Linked DNA regions of Tribolium castaneum. Each later gene encodes a partner of the first gene's protein in a complex. Links are inferred from orthologs where the notes say so. Each region holds a gene or a part of one and is shown in the gene's direction. Other genes may lie near its edges.

What was found. Proteins that work in one complex are often made in the same cells at the same time.
Region 2: MED18 (region 1) and MED9 share a complex: the UniProt entries of both Drosophila melanogaster proteins name them as parts of the mediator complex. The link is inferred for Tribolium castaneum from reciprocal best matches to the Drosophila melanogaster genes MED18 and MED9.
Region 3: MED18 (region 1) and MED1 share a complex: the UniProt entries of both Drosophila melanogaster proteins name them as parts of the mediator complex. The link is inferred for Tribolium castaneum from reciprocal best matches to the Drosophila melanogaster genes MED18 and MED1.

Annotation. Positions count from the first base shown.
Region 1 is NC_087394.1:9,286,519-9,289,151, forward strand, and holds MED18 (mediator of RNA polymerase II transcription subunit 18), read left to right. Parts: upstream 1-1,199; 5' UTR 1,200-1,357; intron 1,358-1,408; 5' UTR 1,409-1,410; coding exon 1,411-2,079; 3' UTR 2,080-2,112; downstream 2,113-2,633. UniProt on the Drosophila melanogaster protein: Component of the Mediator complex, a coactivator involved in the regulated transcription of nearly all RNA polymerase II-dependent genes.
Region 2 is NC_087395.1:15,956,626-15,960,871, reverse strand, and holds the start of MED9 (mediator of RNA polymerase II transcription subunit 9), read left to right. Parts: upstream 1-1,388; 5' UTR 1,389-1,429; coding exon 1,430-1,530; intron 1,531-1,586; coding exon 1,587-1,692; intron 1,693-4,158; coding exon 4,159-4,246. Other genes in the region: Mrgn1 (E3 ubiquitin-protein ligase MGRN1), read right to left, coding at 235-386, 435-622, 670-929, 978-1,110, 1,156-1,238. UniProt on the Drosophila melanogaster protein: Component of the Mediator complex, a coactivator involved in the regulated transcription of nearly all RNA polymerase II-dependent genes.
Region 3 is NC_087399.1:8,918,192-8,922,359, reverse strand, and holds the start of MED1 (mediator of RNA polymerase II transcription subunit 1), read left to right. Parts: upstream 1-1,310; 5' UTR 1,311-1,452; coding exon 1,453-1,471; intron 1,472-1,534; coding exon 1,535-1,674; intron 1,675-1,723; coding exon 1,724-2,439; intron 2,440-2,490; coding exon 2,491-2,722; intron 2,723-4,168. UniProt on the Drosophila melanogaster protein: Component of the Mediator complex, a coactivator involved in the regulated transcription of nearly all RNA polymerase II-dependent genes.

The DNA of each region.
Region 1 (2,633 bases):
ATCATTCATTTTTTGGATTTTAGTGTCCGTTTCTGCTCTTTTAGAGCGTTTATAACTATTATTCAATATGTTATAGGCAGATAAATCTACCTTTGAGTCAACGACATAAACTTCAGTGTGATTTATTGAAATGTATATAGGGCAAGAATGAACTTTTCGTGTTAAACATTTTGATGAAAAAGGACGTTTAATCGTTTATAAAAGGCATGTATAGGTGTGTTAAGTTTGCCATATAATAAAACATAAAATACAACAACTTTTCTATAAAAGCATTTTGCAGAACTCTTATTTATTATTTTCACTATTTTCCTCCTTTTATTTGTGCAAACGAGCCGTTGATGTGAAATTTTGGTGTGAAAATTACTGGTATCGCCACAAATTGTGTTAAATTTAAGTCTCCAGAAAATTCGGTTTTAAAAGTAGGGTTATGTTATCATTTGGAAATGTCAAATCTTTCATTTTTATGGATTTTGTGTCTGTTTCTGCTCTTTTAGAGCGTTATTAATTACTATTGAATATGTTATGGACAGATAAATTTACCTTTGAGTCAACGACATAAACTTCAGTATGATTTATTGAAATGTATAAAGGGCAAAAATGAACTTTACGTCTTAAACATTTTGATGAAAAAGGGCGTTTAATCGTTTATAAAGGGCATGTTAAGGTGTGTTAAGTTTACCACGTAATAAAACATAAAGTACAACAACTTTTCTATAAAAGCATTTTGCAAAATTCTTATTCGTTATTTTTACTATTTTCCTCATTTCCTGTAATAACTGATTCGCCCTTCGGAGGCCATTCTGAATACTGTAATGAATTTTTAAAGATAAAATTTGCGAAATCGGAAAATTTTAAAGAATCTTTAAAAATTCATTAAGGTCCCAAGGGGTGTTTGTCCGAACATGATTTTTAACAGTCAAAGGCCCTATCGAAGAGCTTAATCTCCTGCAAAAATAAAGAAAATTGCATATAAAGGGGGTGAAAAAAAATCAGTTTGCATTGCTTGAATATGAGAATAAAAAATGCAGAAATTAAATACAGTTAAGTTTTAATTTGTAATAGAAACTCATTACAATGGTCAGGAGATGTTCTACAAATGTGTTATGCAAGTCAGCGTAACAACTTATTGATGTTTTTATAATGAATTACGATTATTTTGATAATTTTCCTGGTGTGAACTTGGCTGTAGAAAACGAGAATGGTGGGGAAACGGTGCTAGCTCCATGCGCGCAGCCCTTGTCTGGTCGACTGTAATTTTCATGGTGCCACCACCATTTTTGGGGCTGTCTCCGCCGACATACACTGACAACTTACACTTCAATCAAAACATAACCTCCAAAAACTGTGATAATCTTCAGTAATTGTCGGAAATAGGCCGTTTTCCGCAAAGTGATTGTCACTGTTACAGAAATGGGGACTCCTGGCACGGCCATCGACTCCCTAAACGCCGCCCTCAAATGCAACATAATCCCCAACCAGGAGTACCTCCTCCAGGGCTCAGTCTTGGACCAATACGTCGAGGTGCTCCTCCACCGCTTGCGCGGGCTGTGCGACAACGTAGACAGCGGCCCTGAGTCGTTCCACGACCACGAATTGTGTTTCACCCTCCGGGCCACCAACCCAGGGGCCCCCATGGTGCTCCCACTGCGAGTCCGGCGAGCCCTCGACGTGCCCGACGCCGCCTGGCAGCTGCGCTACGTGGGGCAACAGGAGCTAGGCGACAAGAACCGGCCAACAGTCGTCAGATCGAGTATTGACATGGCTTGCAGTTCCACAATTGTTGAATTTTTGACCGAGCTTGGATGCAGAGTGGATTTTGAGTACATCGCCCGGGGGTACATGTTCCGCAAAGGCAGGATGAAAATCACAGTGTCGAAGATTTTCAAAATGGGGAGCATGACGAGTAAGCCGGGCGAAGGCGTAGAAGCGATTTCCCAGAGTTATTTAGTTGAATTGTCCGTTTTGGCCCCGAGTGGACAAGATGCTATTGCGGAGGATATGAGAATTTTTGCCGAGCAGTTGAGGCCGTTGGTTCAGCTTGAAAAAATCGATTATAAAAGACTTGGAAATTTACCGTAATTTATTTATAAATAAAATACAATTAAGATTTAACTAACAACAATCTATATAGCCTTGAAAAATCCTTAAAAAATATTGCCAAACCTTTCCCTAAAACCCTGAATATGTCTTTTTATACTTTTTTAAATAAAAAAGTTAGGGGGTGTCTACTAAAGTGATGACACCTGGTATTTTAACTACTTTCCCAAACTTTGACTGATATCTTAAAAACTAACAGCAATCTACACAGCCTTGAAAAATCCTTAATAAAATATTGCTTAACCATTCCCTAAAACCCTGAATATGTCTTTTTATACTTTTTTAAATAAAAAAGTTAGGGGGTGTCTACCAAAGTGATGACACCTGGTATTTTAACTACTTTCCCAAACATTGACTGATATCTTAAAAACTAACAGCAATCTACACAGCCTTGAAAAATCCTTAAAAAAATATTGCTAAACCTTTCCCTAAAACCCTGAATATGTCTTTTTATACTTTTTTAAATAAAAAAGTTAGGGGGTGTCTACCAAAGTGATGACACCTGGTATTTTAACTACTTTCCCAGACTTTGACTG
Region 2 (4,246 bases), on another chromosome or scaffold:
AGACAGCATGTTAATTATGACAATTCGTCAGAAAAAAAAGAATACATGTTTTATTCAATAGTAAACTGATTTAGATTCTGGCCTCAGAAGAGGTTTTAAAGTTATGTGTATTATTTATTGTGGCTTAGTGCCAACAAAATTGTCCGTTTGTGAGAGAGTTCCGCTTATAGGTGTCCGTTAAGAGAGATTTCACTGTGTATTTATGCCCAGTAGGGCATGTAAATAATCAATCACCTTGTCGTTATTTTTGTTCTCAATGCCGTATATTTCCTGCAGGAGGTAGCAAAGACCGTCAACGAATAATTTCTGTTTGAGAGCTTTTAAAACATAAGTACCGTCGGACAATTTTTCGGCTGTGGCGATAGTTGTGTGTGATTGTCTCATTTCTGGAACAATCAATTCAAAAATTAAATTCAAAAACGGGTCAAACCAACCCTCAGCGCCTTCCTCCGCCACACAGTGAATGGCAATTGGAATAATCTCCCGGTCAACATCATACAACAACTCCTCTTCTGTGTACTTCGAGGGATCAAAAACGTGAGTCATTTGGCAAAACTGTTGGTTCGCACCGCGTTTGTAATGAAAAGTCTCGGAGGTCGTGTTAGGGTCACGCGGCAAGTACCTTCAAACCCCATAAAATTGCAAACCCATGACAAAAACCCAACTTACGTGACTCCACTTGGTGTAAACTCCTCGGTACAAAAATAGTAGATTGTTATTGCACACCTGACGTCACAATCGAACGTGAACTCGATATTAAACGTCGAGCTCTTGCCCAGCTCAATATCCCTGATGTCCCGCTCGTTCTTTTCCGCCGGTTTGGAATAATCAGCAGGGGCGCGGACAAACCGCAGCGACTCTTTCCGGATGTTCACCAGACTTTTGAGCGTTTTTGTGGGCTCATTAGGCTGGGGCGGGGGGTAGGGAAACTAGAAACGGCACTGTGGGGGCGAAACAACCGCATAATGGCTACTTACAGGGGTTGGTCTACTGCCCAGGAAATTCAAATCGGAGTTCTCGCCGAAGAGGTAAGACTCGGGCTGGGGGGTGTCGAAGCGCTCGCCCCCCATTATAAAGTGGCTCCCGAAGTAGTTCCCTTCAGAAAAACGCCTTCAAGGTAATTGGTACGGAAAAAAGCAAAGCGACATACCAGACCTGGGCGGGTACTTGTACGCGTGGTTTGACACCACGTCCACTTCCTCGACCCCTGCGTGTTGTCTGCTAGCCAACGAACCCATTCTGCGGGCTTGAAATTGCCAAGTTTTTCCAAAATCAGAAATTATTGTTGTTTTTAGTTTGACATTATTATTGACACTTGTGACATTTGAGGCGTCGTCGCCAACACCAGGGACACAAAATCCCTGAGTGAATGTGTCAGAAAATTCATGTGGGAAAGAAAATTCAATGAAAATTCAGGAAATGCCTTGCTATGATGGAATCTGACGAGCACAACCAGGAGTCAGAGAGGAATGTCACGGTGGAAAATTTGAATATCGAGATCTTGCCCATTATCTACGAAATAATACGCAGGTTTGTTGATAAAATTAGTGACAGGCAAAATCGTAATGTCTTGCATAATCATTCAGTGTTGAGAAAGACCACCACGATAACACCGCCAAGGCACGAGAGTCGCAAGACTGTTCCCAGAAGGTGCTCGAGTTGCAAAAACGTTTGGACCAAGCCAGAGCCGAGGTAACTTTCTTCCACCCTAATCACTTCATACCCATAGTAGGGGATACGAATTAGGATCATACTGTACTATCTTCTGGTTACCGGATGAAAATATCTTTTTATCAGAGATAATATCCAAAGTCCAAAGGATTGTATCGCGAATAGGTTTCCTAAAAAAAATGTTCCAGGCCATGGTAAAGGGGGCTAAAAAGCGTCGAATTTTAGCCTTTTTTCAGTATTTTACAACTGAAGGCTACAGGGGAAAAACAACCTCAGTCCACTTGTTTGAGAAAATGAGGTGGGGTTGTAATATTGTAGTTTTTGAGAAAACAATCAGATAATTGAAGCGGGAAATAGCAAATACGACTTCAGTATTGAGCAAAATATGTTACAAATTACACTATAATGAAAAAAGTTATGGTTCCACGTTAGAAAACTTTAAGGATATAATTATTTTTTAGCTCACTGCAATCAAGAAAATAAAAAAAGTTAAGAGGCTTGTTAAAATTTGAATAACTTTAAACTTAAATGAAATACCGTATTTTTTATTTTTGCATCTAAAAGACCTTTAAATTGTCTATTAAAGAACATTAACAGTTAAGTGCTGATTACTCAAAAGATTATACTTAACTTAAAACATTAAAAAAAGTCATTAAAAATTATTCACAATTGTTTCAATAGTCGAAGAGTAAAATTTTCAGCTAATAATAACTTTATTATTTTTCAGTTATTTTTCACAGTAAAATAACTAAAATTTTCTTATCTATGGCGAATTTTTAAATCCCTGTTTAAACTCCAACAAATGATCCGTGGTGAAGTTGCTAAGGTTATGGTAACAGTAATCCTCATGAATAATCTGCATTGTTGATGAAATTAAATTTTAAAGTCAAATATTTGTTTAATTATAAAGGTTAGGCATTTGAAACTTTGTTTTTAAGTAGACAATTTAATAATCTTTGAAAAATAAAAACAAAAACTTTTATTATGTTATTCAACTTTTAACAAACTTCATAATTTTTCTACGTTCCTAATTGCATGCGTTAACCAATTTAACTTTGAACATTCTTAAAAAAATAAGTTTGTATTGTAGCTAATTTCGGAAATATCCTATACAGGATGATTCAAAAATGTTCGACAAACACTCGTATGGTGATAAAAGACGTTCAGTTAAGCACAAAAATGAAGTCAGATTTTTTTATATATTTTTAAGTTTGTATTCCTTAGCAACGGTATCGATTGTTTCTCTTTTGTTTCCTAATATGTTGAATTTAAGATATTGTCGAATTTACAAGTTTTTTTATTGTTTTGCACATAATTAGACATTATTTGTTAATTTTTTTCAACAGGTATTTGTTTAATGTTGCAAGAGATGTCGTTTCTGCTAATTAAGGTCAAAAAAATATGGTCCGAAGCATCAAAAAATTAACTTAAAAATTTAACTTTGAAGAGCTGTAGCTATCTCGTGAAAAAAGACTCAAACAATTTTTTGTCATAGGAACTTTTAATTCAGTTTGATGTCCTTTATCAGCACCCGAGAGATTGTACGAGTACTTTTGAATTACTCTGTATATTTGAAAGTAGTTTTAGATGAGGCAGGTGATTAGTATCTACAACTTAAGGAAAAATAATAATAATAAAAACCCGTTATATGTACGAATAAACAGGTGGTTTCAAATGAACAGCAAAGTTGCTGTTCTCTGCTCTTCCACTTAAACCTTTCAAACAAGAAGAAATATACAGCAAATGAATAAAGACAAAATAAAAAAAAATTGACATAACAAACCAGTACAAAATAACCAGTAGATTCCCATGACTGTCCTTGTTCGGAAAATTATTTGTCAAATATTGCAGCCTTGAAACTATAAGAAGATTCAATTTCTAGAACTGTCGATGGATGCTATTATAATCTTTAGCTACATTAAAAAAGGGACTTTTAAAAGAGACTTGTGCGACTTACGGTAACATTATGTATGTCACGACGGAAGATTATTTCATCAGTGGGACTTGGAAGTAACTATTTTGTGATATAAATAAAGTCCAAGTTTTGTTAATTTGATTTTTATATAGCATGGTCGCCTCACGTCCACTTTCAATTATTTGATCTTTATTTTTTTAAGTTTTCATTTTTTCTTGTTAATTTTCAATACTTTACACAATCATGCAAAATTCGATTGTCTAATTTCAACACTTTTAAATTTGTGTTTGTTAAATAATATTACATTGTTGAAAATGAACCTAGAATGATTCAAAGTGAAAAAACTTGAAAAACTTTATTTATACTCCTTCCTCAAAAGCCCAAGTATGTTGGAATTTCCTGATGCCATAGGCAAACCGGAGACAAGAATTCTGAACCAATTACTTTTCTAACAATTAAAGATAAATAATGGACTTTACCTACTCGCATTTTTGATAAAATAAGCTTCATCCGTTAAACAGATGAGTGCAGAACGACCGTAATTCGAATCTTAGACTACCAACCCCTTGCAGATCCGGCTATTGCCCGGGATTGAGTACAGCAAAGAGCAGCAACTGGACCACTTGGAGGCCCTCAAGACGCAGCTGAAACTCAAGCAAG
Region 3 (4,168 bases), on another chromosome or scaffold:
TACACTTAATTAATTTCTGGAAATGTTTATTGAAGAAGAATATAAATTTTGTTATAAAATTCAATAAAACTATTCGTAAAACTAAAAGGATGAATTTTTATAACTCATTAAACTAATGTATTTACGTGATTTCTGGCAATTTTGAGTTATTTAGTTTATGCTTGTATTACAAAGCAACTTGTTAAAAAAAATAACTACTACAATTTTTTTTCTTTTAATTTTATTACACTAAATCTGCCACTAGCTGTTTCAAAACTATAAAAACAACAACGACGCACTTTACCAAATATTTTTTAAATAAGGTTGATAAAATTGTAAAATAGTTATTAATGATTAGATATCTCATTGAAAGTATAAATTACATTAGTTATTATTTTCTTCAACTGCATGAATAATTTATAACAGCACACATCACAGCAAATTTTGTGAGAAAATGTGACGTTGACGTTTTTATAGTTTTGAAACAGCAAATACAATGGTATAAAGGGGACCAAGGTTCTTCTTTAATATCAGACGATACCTAAGGTGACGGGGGCTATTATTAATTTATTACAGAAATAAAATGTAAAACACCCTTCGTGTAAATTATTTTTTGTTGCATTTGGTTTTTGAAAGCTTTTCATTTTATCTGAATCACATGGAGTAAAATAAAGTAGTCAATCTTGCTTGATTTCTTCTAAAACTCCCTCATATCATGTTTTAACGGTTTGGAAACATTTTTTGTAAAAAACATCTATCTAAGAAATTTTGAAATACAGTAAACTAAGCAATTTTATGTGATTTTTGTTGAATGCCTACAAAATAATAAAAAAAAACATTATGTGGTATAAACTAACGCACAACGTATTTGATTTCTTTATAAAAAAAAAAACGAGAATAAACTATTCAAAATTTTGGAAATGTGCCTATGGTGTACTATTATCTTAGTTGTGATGTGTTAGCGGGCATTTGCTCCAGTTCTGGGGGAAGATGAGGAGATTATCGTGTCAGCAACTTCTTGCGATCTAAAAAGTTGAAAAGTTGTAGCGAATTACGGCTTTAATTGTCATTGACGGATCTAATACGAAATTCGTTGGTAAAAAACGCGGATTAATTCCGGGAGTTTGTTTTACGACCACATTTCATTAAAATATTTGCGTTGCAATAAGCACAACATATGTGCCACCAATTCAAAGCACTCCAAAGTATCAAATCTTGATAAAGTTGAGAGTTGGTAAACACAAATGAATGGAAAAGCACTTGAATATTTTTATTGTTATTGTTATTATCAGACACGAGTTTGAATTGGGCGCCGGTGGCGTAGCCAAATATCCCTAAATTGGGGAAAGTAACGAAACTGTCAAGTTTTTGTTTGGTGCTGATGTATGTTCGAAAAATCGGTTTTTTTCCCTTAATTCGCCCCAAATAGAAAATGTTTACGAACATTTAACGTTAATTTCGCCCGAACTCATCATGAATCGCGTAACAAACGGTGGGTTGCGCGCCCCAGCCAAGAGTTTGACTTTTGACATTTACAACTTTGTTTACTTTTAAGGCAATTTAGCGATGCCACCGTCCGTTGTGGACAAATCCAAAGACTGGCAGTTGGAGATATTGATGGAGAAGCTGCGCTCGAAGGCGTCGCAGTACAAAAGCTTGACAGAGATATCCAAAAATGTGCGAATGGCCATGCTTGTAGGTTATGTCATGTCTGGCACTGCCTCCATTGATGCCCTACTTTCAGGACAAGCGCTACGCGTTGGACAGCGTCGAGAAGAGCCAGCACCAGAAATGCCTCGACACTCTGCAGCACTCCATCAAAGTGACGTCCTTGCAGAGCATGATCGAGCGGCTGGAGAGCTTGACGCGGCAGCTGGGGCTCAAGTTCATGGTGGGCCCCTCGGGGGTGGAGCTCTTCATCTCCTCCGACATGTTCTACCTGGAGATAGTGCTCGACCAGACGGGGGCCGTCAAAGACGTGAAAGTGCACCATGACAGTAAATTGGAGCAACAGAGTTGCGCTGAGCTCGTCAATTGTTTATCTAGTGGCGATTTTGCCGATTTCACTGCCCAGTTGGAAGGTTTTGCCTCGATTTACCAGCTCAATGCTGAGAAAAAGGTCAAGTGTAAGGCGTTCACAGCCTTGCAGTCGCTGGAGTCTGATTTGAGCACCTTGGCTCACTTGCAGTCTTTCATGAAGGAACCTTTCAACCTGCTGTATAAGTCTCCGGTTGGGGTGCTGGAGAAGCGCCGAGGGGGACACCCCATGAAACTCACCTATTTTGTCTCTCCTTATGATTTATTAAATGTTGAGAAATGTGATATTGAACCTATTACTGTTGATACGATCGTTAGTAAAGCGCTGGGGTACAGTGTGACGGTGTGTATGGAAGGGTCCGCTACACATAAGTTGCAAACGACCACTCTCATCACAGTTAATAGGAATATTAACGGGAAAAGGTAAAAATTATTAAAAAAAATTTTTTTTTCTTTGAGGGAAATTTATTTTAGTACGCCGTCTTTTTCATCGCTAAGTAGCCAAAATAGTGCAGCAATTCCGGCCTGTTTTGTCCTCAAATTAAACAAACCAATGCCAATGTGTGTCAATTTAGTTAGACAAATTCAACAAGTTACTGAATTGGATACTATAGAACAATCAGCAACTCATCCGTTACTTAGTTTAATAGTACATCACGCCAGTGAAGGGAAAATGGAGTCTGGGAACAATAAGGGCCTTTTTGTGGTAAGTGGTTGGCAATAATATTTATAAAAAAATGGTCATGTTGACTACTGATTCTCCTAGTTTGCGGTACAAACTTTTCGAGAGCCAAAAAATGGTAAATAATCAAAAATAATCTACTTAATGAAGTTCCTCTGACATTAAAAAATTCTAAAATCAGCAATTTTAAACATAAATACAAAATGTTTCTTACAAAATGATTTTTCTTATGTGTTTTTTTGCTCTATAATTTTGTTAAATAGAATTAGATATTTTATTATTATTATATTTTTTATTTTTTTCTTCAATCAAATTGTTTATTTTTTTGTTATTTCTCATTTATTGTCTGGGTCAAAACCTTGATCAGCTTTGCTGTCTTTTGGTCCACTTTGTGGTAGGAACAACTCGTAGAAAATTTTAATTTTGTTATCGTATTTTTTTTCTTGTTGTAATTAATTATATTGTAACTGTTTTACTGCCACAAATAAATTATTATTATTATATTATTATTAAAAAAACAATTAATTTCACGTCAAAAAATAGTTAATTAACCACCTCAATTCTTGATATATAAGCAGCCATTTCATTTTAACGGACGGGACACTATAGATTTTTTACCAATTTTTATCACCAGTATCAGTAGAAGTGAATTTTTCTTTATAGGAACTTAGTACCAGTCAAACAATTTGCAACCTACAATAGTCGGAGCCACATTTGTAAAATTTGAAATATGAGCAGGAAAAAGAATACAAATTGGTGACGGACGGGACACAAAAAAGACCTTACATTTTTATCGCTAAACAATCTTTATAAAATTCTGTTAATTTAAAAGGCACTAATTCTAAGAATTACTTTATAAATAAATGGTAGATTTTGTTGAAACTTTTGAAACCACGATTAATTTACTTTTTGTTTACACATGGCGGATGGGACAAAAAAATCTTGTGTATGAAAATAACTCTAAAAAAATTATTTAGGCAGGTTTTAATTATTAAAGATTTTAACAATATCAAAATTAGACTGGAAATTAGAAACTTATGTCCTGTAATTGTTTTTTTTAATTAATAATTTGAATATTTAATAATATATAAATTAATGCTTAGTCAAGGCATCCCTAATAATTTCTTCGAACCTTCTCCCAAATACAACGCATTCTTTTTCTGGAGTTTGAGGGGGTTTCAAATTTGAAAAAAATCTCAAAAAATTCACACGTTATTCACAACCTATCCTCAGCCTCTCTACTAAAATTTAATTAATTTTAAAAATCTTAAAAATAAATTAGTTTTAGATTCACAAGTTTTAATAATAACACTAAATCTAAATGTGAAAAAAATATGATTTTTTTGTTTTTATTTTTTTTTATCAAATCTTTTCTTTTAAGATTAAGGACCAGTTTCGCATTATAATCCCTTTTTAGCACATTTTAAAATTCTAAAATCCACTCTCTGAAAATAACATCGTGTTTTTTTT